Linked DNA regions of Cricetulus griseus. The protein of the gene in region 1 purifies or fractionates together with the protein of each later gene. This does not show direct contact. Links are inferred from orthologs where the notes say so. Each region holds a gene or a part of one and is shown in the gene's direction. Other genes may lie near its edges. The genes, in order: Armc8, Rmnd5b and Tceal9.

The links.
Region 2: the proteins of Armc8 (region 1) and Rmnd5b purify together in Homo sapiens (affinity purification with mass spectrometry; 4 studies listed by BioGRID and IntAct, with this or other methods). This does not show direct contact. The link is inferred for Cricetulus griseus from reciprocal best matches to the Homo sapiens genes ARMC8 and RMND5B.
Region 3: the proteins of Armc8 (region 1) and Tceal9 purify together in Homo sapiens (affinity purification with mass spectrometry; 3 studies listed by BioGRID and IntAct, with this or other methods). This does not show direct contact. The link is inferred for Cricetulus griseus from reciprocal best matches to the Homo sapiens genes ARMC8 and TCEAL9.

The regions. Positions count from the first base shown.
Region 1 is NC_048597.1:207,972,349-207,976,444, reverse strand, and holds the start of Armc8 (armadillo repeat-containing protein 8), read left to right. Parts: upstream 1-1,161; 5' UTR 1,162-1,410; coding exon 1,411-1,455; intron 1,456-4,096. UniProt on the Homo sapiens protein: Component of the CTLH E3 ubiquitin-protein ligase complex that selectively accepts ubiquitin from UBE2H and mediates ubiquitination and subsequent proteasomal degradation of the transcription factor HBP1.
Region 2 is NC_048600.1:65,917,973-65,922,135, reverse strand, and holds the start of Rmnd5b (E3 ubiquitin-protein transferase RMND5B), read left to right. Parts: upstream 1-1,255; 5' UTR 1,256-1,393; exon of another isoform or gene 1,394-1,532; intron 1,533-4,163. UniProt on the Homo sapiens protein: Core component of the CTLH E3 ubiquitin-protein ligase complex that selectively accepts ubiquitin from UBE2H and mediates ubiquitination and subsequent proteasomal degradation of the transcription factor HBP1.
Region 3 is NC_048604.1:44,120,230-44,123,884, reverse strand, and holds Tceal9 (transcription elongation factor A protein-like 9), read left to right. Parts: upstream 1-1,358; 5' UTR 1,359-1,512; intron 1,513-1,997; 5' UTR 1,998-2,063; intron 2,064-2,411; 5' UTR 2,412-2,471; coding exon 2,472-2,783; 3' UTR 2,784-3,131; downstream 3,132-3,655. UniProt on the Homo sapiens protein: May be involved in transcriptional regulation.

The DNA.
Region 1 (4,096 bases):
TAGCTATAGAGACTATGTGCAGTTACAATCTGCCTGGTTGTAGCAGGCATACTAGGACATGATTTTAGGAGCTAGGTAGATAGACATTTAATATTTGTATTTATGAATGGTAATGTATCCTAGAATAAAAAGGAACACAAAAAACTTGATTTCACAGACTACGATTTAGGGAAAAGCTAAAAAATTCAAAGATGTGGAAACTGGCTTTAAACAACGTTATTGGATGAATAATAACACCCGGCCGAACACTGGCAAACATTGTGTAGTTAGGATGCAAGCTACAGAATTTAGGAGAGAATATACTGTTACAGCAGGTTCTATTAAACTTCCAGTCTTCCAGAAGTGCAACATTTTGTAACAGACCTATAAGCAGGGGTGATAAATGATACAATGAATTTAGAAAGTACAGGTGGAAATGAGGAGAAAGATAGGCTTTTGCTCTAAGAGCACTGGGAAGCCTCTTGCTTTATCCCGAGGAACAGTAACAACCTAATTAGAGATGGCTTCACCTATCAGCGTGTTTTAGTACGCGATACTCAGATAGTTGACCAATTGTCCCCCTCCCCGCCACCCCTCCCCCATATGACTCAGAGGCTGGAAAAATGCTAACACATAGAGAGCACAAGGCTTTCCACATGCCGGGCTTGTTGTTTGGTTTATTGCCTCATTTATTCTCATCAGCCCTTATTTTACAGTCGGGAGAACTGAAATAAAAGGAGGCTAAGGAACCTGTCCAAGATAAAGGCGCTAACTAAAGTAGCAAGGATTAAACCCAGGCGTCTTGGCACTGGAGTGCTCGCTCATTCCGAACACTAAACCAGAATCCACGCGTGGGTCGGGCACACGACGTTAACGCAGGTCACGCTTGAGCGTTGAAGCGTGAAACCACCGTTCTCACTAGCGGCACGAGACCCGGTTTCGAGACCAGTTTCTCCAGCCCCAAGATGGGGACAGTACTGAGGCTCGGAGTTTGGTGCAGAGTGAGATAACGAATGTGAAAGTGAACTTCAAACTACGTCGGTAACTCCACCTACTAGCGATTAGGAAACAGAACCCGCAAACCGAAATTTACCAGTACCCAGAGCCCGAGTGAGGCTCCGCCCCCAGCAGGCGGAAGGTGGGGCAGGCGGGCCTTTGCGCATGCGGAGGCCTCTGGCCGCGCCCTCCTCTGACCCCAGCGAGAGTAGCTGCTGTTTCTGAGAGGACGATTCGTAAGCCGGGTTCGGCGCGGTTACCCATTCTTCTCCCTTCCGCCCGGTCCTTCGGTGCTCAAGCGACGCCCGGAGCCCGGTCGGTTCCGCGTAGCTCGTCTGGCTTTCCACAGAGGATCCGGCTGCTGGCCCCATAGGTGGCTGTCGAAAGTGCCGGCCGCGCGCCGGCGCCGGCAGCAGCCGGGTGGGAAGGCTCAAGATGGCGTGCCTGTTGGAGACCCCAATCCGCATGAGTGTCCTCTCGGTGAGTGACCCACCCGCTCGGCGCCCAGCAGCCCGGGCTCCGCCAACTCTGTGAGCCCGGCGCGGTGAGCTTCCCGAGCACCACCCCCTGCGGTGGCCGTAGGTGGGACACACGCGGCCCGGGCCGAGCCGGAGGCGTCTCACACTCGCGAGCTCCCACCGGTGCGGACTCCCGGGGCGGCGTCGGGCCGGCGGGGAGGTCGGGCTCTAGGCAGCCGGCCCATGGGCGCGGCTTGGGCTTGGCCGAGCGTTTCCCCTGCCTCCCTCTCTGCGCGGTTGCCTCTCCAGACCGAGCTCGCTGCCTGCTGAGGTTCAGGGCAGGCCTGGGACCGAGCGACCACTCCACTCTCCCGGGCTGTGGGTAGAAGAGGTGTGAGCTCTTCCGCTGCCACAGCACAGAGCTGCCAGGCTAGGGCTGTGTGTCTTCTGTCACGTCCCTACACCCAGGCACCTGCCAGAGCCGCTTGTTTCTCGGCAATGGATATATATAATATATATATATATATATATATATATATATATAATTCAAGCTGCTACTCTTGCTATATTGTGTGTGGTTATTTAAACCGCTTTGCTCTGTTCTGCTCCTGAGGTCGCGGCTCGGACACTAGAGAAACTATGTTGCTATTGCCCGGTGTTCATTTTTTTCCTTAGGGAGAACAAAACATTTTAGAAGGAGGAACCAAAAGGGGTAATTAAAAAAAAAAAACAAGATTAAATTTCCCCATTCCCCCATTCAAGAAGGGAACGTCTTGATACGCCAAGAAGTCATACCATTTCTTTTCTTCTTACGTTAAAAAGAAACAACAACAGCAACAAACCAACAAGAAGACGTTCACCTTCCACGATATTGTCCTTAAAAGAAAAGAACAGGAGCATCGATGAAATGAACAAGAATGAAAGTTGCAGGGGGATAACTTTGGAGGGTTTCACGACAGGTTTTAGCTGTTGCACGCCAAGTAGAGTTTACCAATGAATGATTCATTTGTTGTTGTTGGAAATAAAGAAGTATGCAGGCAAAGAGCGATTGATCATCCTTGAGACTTGTTGAAACTTACTGAGATGGTAGTTGGATTCTAAATGACTTGCTATGATTCCTACAGTCTTGCAACTCCAACCGGTTCCTTTTCTCGGCTCTGACCTCTTACACAAACACACTCACGTGTTCAAAGGCACCTAGTACATCACTCCAGGGTTAGAGCCATTCAATAGGCTGCTACCTACAGTTACAATACAGTGCAAAATGTAATTTTGGGAGGTGATCAACAGATCTATCCCTGGATCCATTTTACTCAACTGCTTACTTAAACTGCAACTAGAGAAATGCTGTTCACCCAGCTATTGAGCACATTAGCCTGTTAGTCCACTTACGATGTCCATGAATGTTTTGTGGGAGAACAGACCAGTGATCTCCCTAATTGAGTTAAAAGACAAGAAAGATGTATCCTAATGGTTCAGTTCTCTTTTGATTATGTCATCCTGATTTCAGATACCCTTTAGTTCATCTGAAAAACTTTTGGTTGCCCTCCCCCCCCCAACACACACACACACACACACACACACACACACTGAACCCAACCCTTTGAGCACCCTTGGTAAGGTGCTGTTCCAGAATACAGTCCTAGCTCCACCTGTTTTCTTTCTGTACATTATCAACTTGAATAGTGTAGATAATCAAAAACCTCATTTGTCTCACTTTCTTTGTAAATGATTATGTTCTGTTTATTTCACTCAAAAAAACTTCTTGAAGAATATTTTCCATTTTTGAGTTAGAATTTGCTTTAGCTCTAGTCTCATTTGGGAGCATAAACTAACTCAAAGGTCTAGTTTTCCAATTCGTTGGTCTTAGGGCAGAGCTTTGGAGAAACACTTTAAAATGTCTTGAGCTTAATGATCTTACAGGTTAAAGGAAAGACTTTGCCTTTCAAACAGCTAACTCAAGCACCATTTTAATATTAATTATTAATTAGAAGTTATTGTGATTAAGGAAGTGGCTCAGTGGGTAAATTCCTTGCTTCACAAGCATGAGGACTTGAGTTAGGATCCTCAGTACCTACATAAAAAGCCCCATATGTCAGTGCATGTTTGTAATGTCACTGCAATGTCAGTGCATGTCTGCAATGTCAGTGCATGTCTACAATGTCAGTACATGTCTGTAATGTCAGTACTGGGAGGCAGATCCTAGAGGCTTTCTAGCTAGTTGCTATAGTCAGAACTGGGAGCTTCAGGTTTAGTGAGAGACCCTGTCTCAAAAAGTAAGGTAGAAGCAGACAAAGATAACCGATGTTGACCTCTGACCTGTGATCCGGTGAGTGCATGCACACACGCGCGCGCGCACACACACACACACACACACACACACACTTGGGTGAATCTCTTCAATAAGCTACTTACTATATGCCTTTGATGTACAAAGCCCTGTGTTGTGTGTGTACTTTAGCAAATGCAAGGTTATCAGAAGTGCTCCAAAGGAGCTCATAGTCCTGATGACTCTGCAGTGTGATAACTGTAAGTTGCTGAATGGGAAATCAAATTGTTTTAAATTATTTCCATCTGTAGTCCATTATACCTTCTTCCTGAGAGACCACAGTTGCTTGCTTAACCTGAACTACTCAATCCTCACATCTACATTATCATCTTGA
Region 2 (4,163 bases), on another chromosome or scaffold:
TATGCTGGTTTCCCAGTGGCCTCAAACTCACTGTATGTGCCACTACAACCAGCTCTTTCATCCTTTTTAATTAGGGCAGATATGCAACCCCCTACTTCATCTTACCACTAAAGAGGGGCGATCCACAGAGAGCAGCAGGTCTGGGAGCTATGGAAGAATAGAATTAAATGACTGGCCAGGACAAAAAACAATCATCTTTAAGCATTGTGCATATGTAATGTAAACGTGTACGTGGGTGTGCTTGCATGTATAGATGCGTGGAGGCCACTTTATCACTCCCCACCTTATTCTCTCACTTTTTTTTTTCTTTTCTCTGTAGCTTTCGAGGTTGTCCTGTAACTCACTCTGTAGACCAGGCTGGCCTCGAACTCACAGAGATCCGCCTGTCTCTGCCTTCCGAGTACTGGGATTAAAGGCGTGTGCCACCCGCCTCACCTTATTCCCTTGAGACGCCATCTCTTACTGAGCCCGGAGCTCTGCTTTTCAACTCCATTAGCCGGCAAGCACACGCGGGTGTCCTCGTGTGTCCACCCACCATAGTGCTGCAGTTATGGGCCTGCGCCACTAGGGGTGGGTCAGCTTTAAACCAGTGCCAGAGATCCCAACTCAGGTCCTCAGGTTTGCACTGCAAACACTTTACCCATGGCCTCAGGACTCTTCCTTTAAACATTATTTGCTATTTCAAAAAGAATCACAGGAAATACCTAATCACTGGGCCACGTACATGTAACGGGCTTTTGAAATTTTTATTTCTCCGGTGCTGGGGATGGACTGAAGGATCAGCAACCTTTAAGCCGCTGAGCAACGCCCCCCCCTTCCCCTGCTTTTGTGTTTGTTTTGAGACAAGGTCTCAAATAGCTCAGGCTGGCCTAATTCACTATGTACCCTTGAACTTTTGGTCTTCCTATAATCATAGGCAAGTGCCACAGTGTCCAGCTTTATTTTCTGTGACAAATCTCACTTTGTAGTTCAAACTCGTCTGGAACTCGCGGCGCTCCTCCAGCATCAGCTTCCCCATGCACCAGCCTCGACATTTAAGAGTTAGGAATATAGACAGGACTAGCGGTTAGGGACTCCAATTAGGCAGGTACACCTGCTCATACTTCCGATAGAAAGCCGGGACAACCCTCCGGTGGTTCCGGTCGGCGGAAACCGAGGTTCGCTGCGGGTAGCAAGGAAGCGGCACCCGGACACTGCGCAGGCGCTGACTGCCTCCTGGCTCCCGCGGGCGATTCCATTCTGCACTCTGGGCAAAGCCACGGGATAGACGGACTGTCTCCCCACGCTCCCCGACAACGCGCATGGGCGAGCCCGGACCCACCCGAGGGGCAACTGCCGCGCCTTCCGGTTCCGATGACAGCGGCGCCGGAAGCCGGCTGGGCTGCAGGACTAGGTGACAGCCTGGGGGCTCTGGGTCCGGGGTGCGGGGCGCCCCGACCAAAGCCCGGAGCAGTCGTCTGCCACACCCTCCAAGGGCTGGTGGAGTCGCCCGACTCGGACGTCCTATCTTGGTGCAGCTGACTGGGTCAGAGGTAACCAGCTGCGGACGGTGGAGTCCTGGCAGGGCACTGCAGGAGGGTCTCTGGAAGCATGAGTAGGAGTTTGCCAGTCCTTAGCACCATAATGCGGGTGAAGTCCGGGTCGTGGCAGGGTAAATGGTGGGCTTTCCTGTGCTTCCAGTTTTAGGTGAAGATGTTACGATTTGAAACTTTCTAATGTTAACAGGGATATGATTTGTTTGAGGGTAAAGTACAGGGCATTGGATGTTGGGGTCTGAAAAGACGAGACCTAGATAAGGAGTCAGCTATGGAAAGATGTGAAGAGCCAGTTCCAGGCAGAGGGTGGAGGCAGAAATAAACTGTATGTACGCTGGAACAGAAAGGTCAGTGGTGGTAGAGTATGGCAAATGAGGGGGAGAGTGACTACAATGAGGCGTTTGTTTGGTGAATGCGTTTGTTTGTTTGTTTTGTTGTTCTTGCCTTTTGAGACAGGGTCTCTGATAGCCCAGGATGGCATGGAGCTTCCTAAGTAGACCAGGCTGGTCACAAACTCACAAAGGTGAACCTGCTTCTGCCTCCCTAAGTGCTGTATGTATTAAGGTCATGTACCACCACACCCAACCTCTTATTATATATTTTGTTTGTTTTGTTCTGTTGTTTTTTTGAGACAGGGTTTCTCTGTGTAACTGCCCTAGCTATCCTGAAACTAGCTCTGTAGACCAGACTGGACTCAAACTCACAGAAATCTGCCTGCCTCTGCCTCCTGCCCCACCATCAGGCCTTTCTTTCTTTCTTTCTTTCTTTCTTTCTTTCTTTCTTTCTTTCTTTCTTATTCATTTTGAGGCAGCCTTTCTTCTCCACATAGCCTTGGCTGTCCTGGAAGTCACTGTAGACCATGCTGGCCTGGAACTCACAACAAGCTATCTGCCTCTCCCTCCTGAGTTCTAGAATTAAAGGTGTGAGCCACTACACAAAACAGATTGTTTTAATTTTTAAAAAAAATTTTATGGTTATGGTTTTGCCTGCAAGTGTGTCTATGAACCACATGAATGCAGCGTCAGAAGAGAGCTTCAGGGCCTCTGGAACTGGTGTTACAAGGAGGTTGTGGGTCCTGGGAACTGAACCGATCCTCTGCAAGAGTAGCAAGTGCTCGGAAACAGTGAGCATCTCTCTGGCCCCTGTAGTGTGAATTTTTAACATTTCCTTCATATCTCTTTCTGCCCACTGGGAGCTTTTGACTCAGGCCTGCTTAGCCAAAGGCTGGAAATGGAGGTACTGTTTAAACAGTTAGAGCAAACTCTCAGGCCTGTGGTGGCCCAGGCCCAGAAGAGAATGAAACTAGTCTCCAGGCTTTGTTCAGCTGGTAGTCCAGTGCGGGGAAACACATGTGAAGAGACAGTCATAAGGATTCAGATCTGTGTGGGACTGACACATCAGATTTGTCATGCAGAAAAGGTGGCTGTACAAGGCAGCTGGCTCGATGAGTAGAAACCTCAGTTGGATCCCTAGCATTTATAGTGTAAAAAGGTGGCTGTAACCGGGGTGGTAGCGCATGCTTTTAATCCAGCAGATGTGGCAAGCACTTTACCAATGAAGCCATCTTCTCAGCCCCAATCCTCAGCTTTTTAAGTTTTCAAGAAGGTTCACTTGTTTATTTATTATGTATGCAGTGTTCTGGCATATACCTATATGTCAGAAGAGGGCACCAATTCTCATTATAGATAATAGTGAGTCACCATGTGGTTGCTGGGAATTGAACTCAGGACCTCTGGAAGAGCAGCCTGTGCTCTTAACCTCTGAGCTATCTCTCCAGAAATCCCCCTTTTTCTTTTTTTGACCATCTTCCCCAGCTGGTGGTTTGCATTTGCTCCAGTTTAACTTCCTGTTTGTTATAACTGATGGACCCTATGAGTTCATCACAGCCATATACACATACACCCTGCTTTGCTGGTCTGTTGTACAAAGTATCCACAGTGAGGACCTCAGCCCAGAGCTAGATAGCAGGCTTCCTTCTGTTCCCACTCCTCCACTTCCCAGCTGTGTGGCCTTGGGGTGTTTATTTTGTCTTTCCCTGTCTCATTTTCTCAGCTGCAAAGTGGGTCTAATAACCATACCTACCTCATAGTGTTGTGAGAATTGGTGAATGAGTTAATGGGTGAAGTCATTGGAGCAGAGCCTAGCACATAACGAGCCTCTGGGGAATGTTAGTTATTATCAAGCAAAATAATTATATCATTTTAAATGGGAGTCCCTGTTATATTTTACCCATAATATCTTATAACTGTTGAGTCTGTTTTGGGGGGTGTAACATCTCCGGACACTATGATTATAGATTTTAGTGTGTACAATAACATCAGCCAAGGCCAATCACTTTTCTGTCATTTGTCCACCATCTGGGAGGGAGAAAGTGGCTGTAAGTGGAGCTGAGATGGTAAAGCCGAGATGGGTGGTGCTTGTGGGACTAGGAGTGTGGAAGAAATAGGAAGATCCCAGGGTCACCATGGACACTGGCTTCTTGTGCTGCCATTCTTTTGGGAGAGTGGATAGCTGGCTACATTGACACCTTTAGAGGGACACATAACTCAGTCCTCTTATTTCTAGTCCTCTGCATGAGTGCAGATGCTCTATTCTGTTGCCAGCATTCTGAGGATTATCTGTGCACTC
Region 3 (3,655 bases), on another chromosome or scaffold:
TAGATATTGCACTCTGCATTAGTCAGGCTCAAGAGTGAGAAGACACAGAGAGACCTAACCTTGTATTATTGTTCTGAACAAACCATTTCTTAAATTACTGCTCTGTCTACATGTAAAATTGAGCAGAAGTCTGACTCCGAGGTTAAGATAACCAAAGAGAAGCTACAACATGAAGGCAGCAATGCCACATTTTTTTCTAGACATTTTAGACACCCACAGGGCATGTGTAATCAAGTGAAAAGCCAGTACTTTTACCTAAAGAGGCTTTCAAGTCCCTAACCCAAGCAATCATTGTCATCATAAAACTAGTGACTTGATTTTTGAAGTCATTTCAAATATAAAGAAGTCAGAGCCCCCTACCCCATTAATCAAATCATGTCCAAACCACAGCTCTGTTCTCACATCAGTTCTCTTTGCAGCAAACTCTATATATATATATATATATATATATATATATATATATTCATACATACATGTTATTTCACTTGTATTTATTCAAGTGAAATAAAATGGGAATGAGTGAATGTTGAAGGTGTGCTACAGCTAAGTGGTTTGGAGCAGTAAAAACACAGTGTTAAGACATCCCAACAATTCATGATAGTTCCTGTATCACCTTCTTTAGAATAAGGAGACCTTGTGTTAACAATATGTACCTGATAATTGACCAAGTAATGATTTTTCAGGCAACATAATTCTTGACAGTACCCCCAGCAGGGCTCGAGATAAAATAATTATCTTTATTTATTTTAAAAAATTCTCCCTAAATGACATCAGAAAATAATAAACATTTAAAAAGCACATACCTTAAAGCATTTACTATATACCAGGCCCTAGTCTAAGTAATGTACCTGTATGAATTCATGCATGTATCTAAAATAACTTGGCTGTTACTTCTGACTGTAAAGCGACATTTCTTTTGAAATGATTACAGAAGTATTAAGAACAAAGTTTAAAATGTTTTCAAGAAATCACAGTCCTATTCCAAGATCCTTTTTTGTCCCCAATCGTGCCCTACCTACCTGGCTCCACACAACAAAGGAGTACTTTTCAGATGAAGGGGGAGGAGCTAAGGAAACAGATTGGGGAGTTAGTGATACTGGCAGCTGGGAGTGGGAGACAGGAAGGGTCAATTATTAAGTGAAGCGGAAAAGTTCGTAGCTCCAGAAAATAAGATGCTCCTCTTTAGTAATCAGAGAACTGCAAAAACAGAAAAAAAAAAACGCACATTTTTTTTTTCCTGCAGAAAAGACTGACACAGCCAAGTGTGTGTTCGGGAAGGGGGTAGGTGAGGGAGCAGAGGGCGGGCCCACATCTGCCGCGCTTTTTGTGGGAGTGGAGATCGGGGACCCGAGCTCACTGGTGACGTAGATCTCATGTGACCAGGAGTCGACGTGTGCAGAAATCCTGCTAGTCTGGTCCTTGTTTCCATCTGGGTACCAGCTTCCTTCAGCTTCGCAGGCGGCGGTGTAAGAGGCCCGCGGAAGGAGGAGACAGCTTGTTTAAATTCTCCAGGTTGGTGTCAGAGGGGGTATTGCTTGGGTTTTTCTAGTGTAGGGTGGTCTAGGATAGAGACTGGAGTTCCAGTTAAGTCCGTCCCTCCACCCCTTAGCTTCAATTCTGCAGGAAAGGACACCCGTGAAAGGAACCGGACTGGGGGCGGGGGGTCCCAAAAGGAAAACAAGGAGACCAATGACGGCTCAAAAATAACCATACTCTGAGATTTTGGACCTCTTTTCTGACAGCCGCTCGGCTTCCGAAACCTCGGCTTGGATCTACCGACAGTTGGGAAATAATATTCCCTGTCTGATGAGAAAGACAAGCTAACTTGCGGGGTGGGAAGGAGGAATCCTGTGGGAAACAAAGGGTGGGAAATGTCCGTAAGCAAGACCTTAAATAAGGAAAGATCCGTGAGCTGGATCTGTGGTGCTGCTCTGCTGAGCGCCCAAGGCTCGCTCGCCCCACCCCCAACATCCCCTCCCTTCTCCGTTTGCCTGCAGGTTTGTTCTTTGTACCGCTCCAGGCTAAAATAAGTGGGAGAAAGAAACTGACCAGATCAGTACCTGGTAAGTGAAAGGAACTTTATACCAGACTCCCAGGGTGTGGGTTGGTGAAGGCCCGCTGCGGGAATGAAGGCCTTGGAAAAAATGCTTGAGGGAGGGACTAGAGAGGGGAGGGGGTGGAAAATGGAGGTAAGAGGGGCGGGCACTGGGAAACCTTGATTGCGGACTGGGCTTCTTAGGTGGAAGGTATTTGCTGAGGACAGTTGGACCAAAATGGGGTGGGGAGAGAGGGGGGAGGCGAGGGGTGGGGAGAGACAGGGAGAGAGAGAGCACAGGGTGAGGAGACCTTTTGTGCACAGCACCTGCACACTTACCAAGTCTTCCGCTTACTGTCTTCTACTTGCTTCCTAGAAATAATCGCATTCACGAATAGGCAGGAAGAAGCAAAGAAGGAAGAGAAGCACACACAAGATGAAACCCTGCCAAAAAATGGAAGGAACCCCAGAAAATGATGAGCCAAAGCCCGAGGAGGAGCCAAAGCCCGAGGAAAAGCCAGAGGAGGGGGAAGAACCAGAAGAGGAGGAAAAATCGGAAGAAACTTTTAGGGAGAGGCTGATTCAGTCTCTTCAGGATTTTAAAGAGGATATACATAACAGGCATTTGAGCAGTGAAGATATGTTTAGGGATGTGGATGAAGTAGATGAGATAAGGAGAGTGAGAAACAAACTTATAGTGATGCGTTGGAAGGCTAATCGAAACCACCCTTATCCCTATTTAATGTAGCTTGCCTTGGTTTCTGTTTTATCTGGTATTGCCACTGCAATATAGCTTTCTTTTTATTAGCAATTTTCTGATATGCCTTTGCCCATCTCCCTATTTTGAATCTGTTGCTATTAGTGGTTTTAGATGTATCTCTTCTTGTCTGCATCTTACTGTTGCTTATATTTGAATCAATCTACAAGTGTTTGGCTTTGAATGAGAGAGCTTTACTGATTTGTAAAAAAAAAATGAGCTTCTGATGGGATACAAAATGAGGAAAGGTTACAAAATAATATGAGGATATCATATTTTGAAAGACAAGAGTACCTTTGTATGCTACATAAATGCACATATAAACTTGTGAAAGATGAATGATTTTTCTTCTGCTTATTTGTATTTGCCATATTCCTAAAATGAACGTGCATTATTCTTGCTAAAAATAATAAAGGTTTTATAACTAAAAATAAGCATCCAACAGCTCTTATCAATTTCTAAAATGCTGGGGCACTTGTTATTCATTGACAAAATATTAGAACCACTGAGTTAAAAGATTAAAATTTACACCTATTCTTATCTGCAGTAATAAGCATAATAGTCTTGTAGGAATTTTGTGGTGGCCAAATAAGATACCCAGAGCTGTTTGACAGGGTTTTATCACCATTGCTCCCACAGGATCCAAATGCTAGAGATTTGTTCCTGCTATTTGGAAGCATAGAGAAAGTAATTCTCATGCTGTGCTTGAGAACAAACTCACTCTCCAACTGGTGGGCGAGTGCTACTTGTCTAGACTCCCATCTAGCTGCTTTATGACATTAACATGGTATTCCAGACCCTCTCCTGCATTCTGAAAATTTCAGTTCCCTGGTGCTTTGTAAAATTCTCAAGTACCAAAGCCG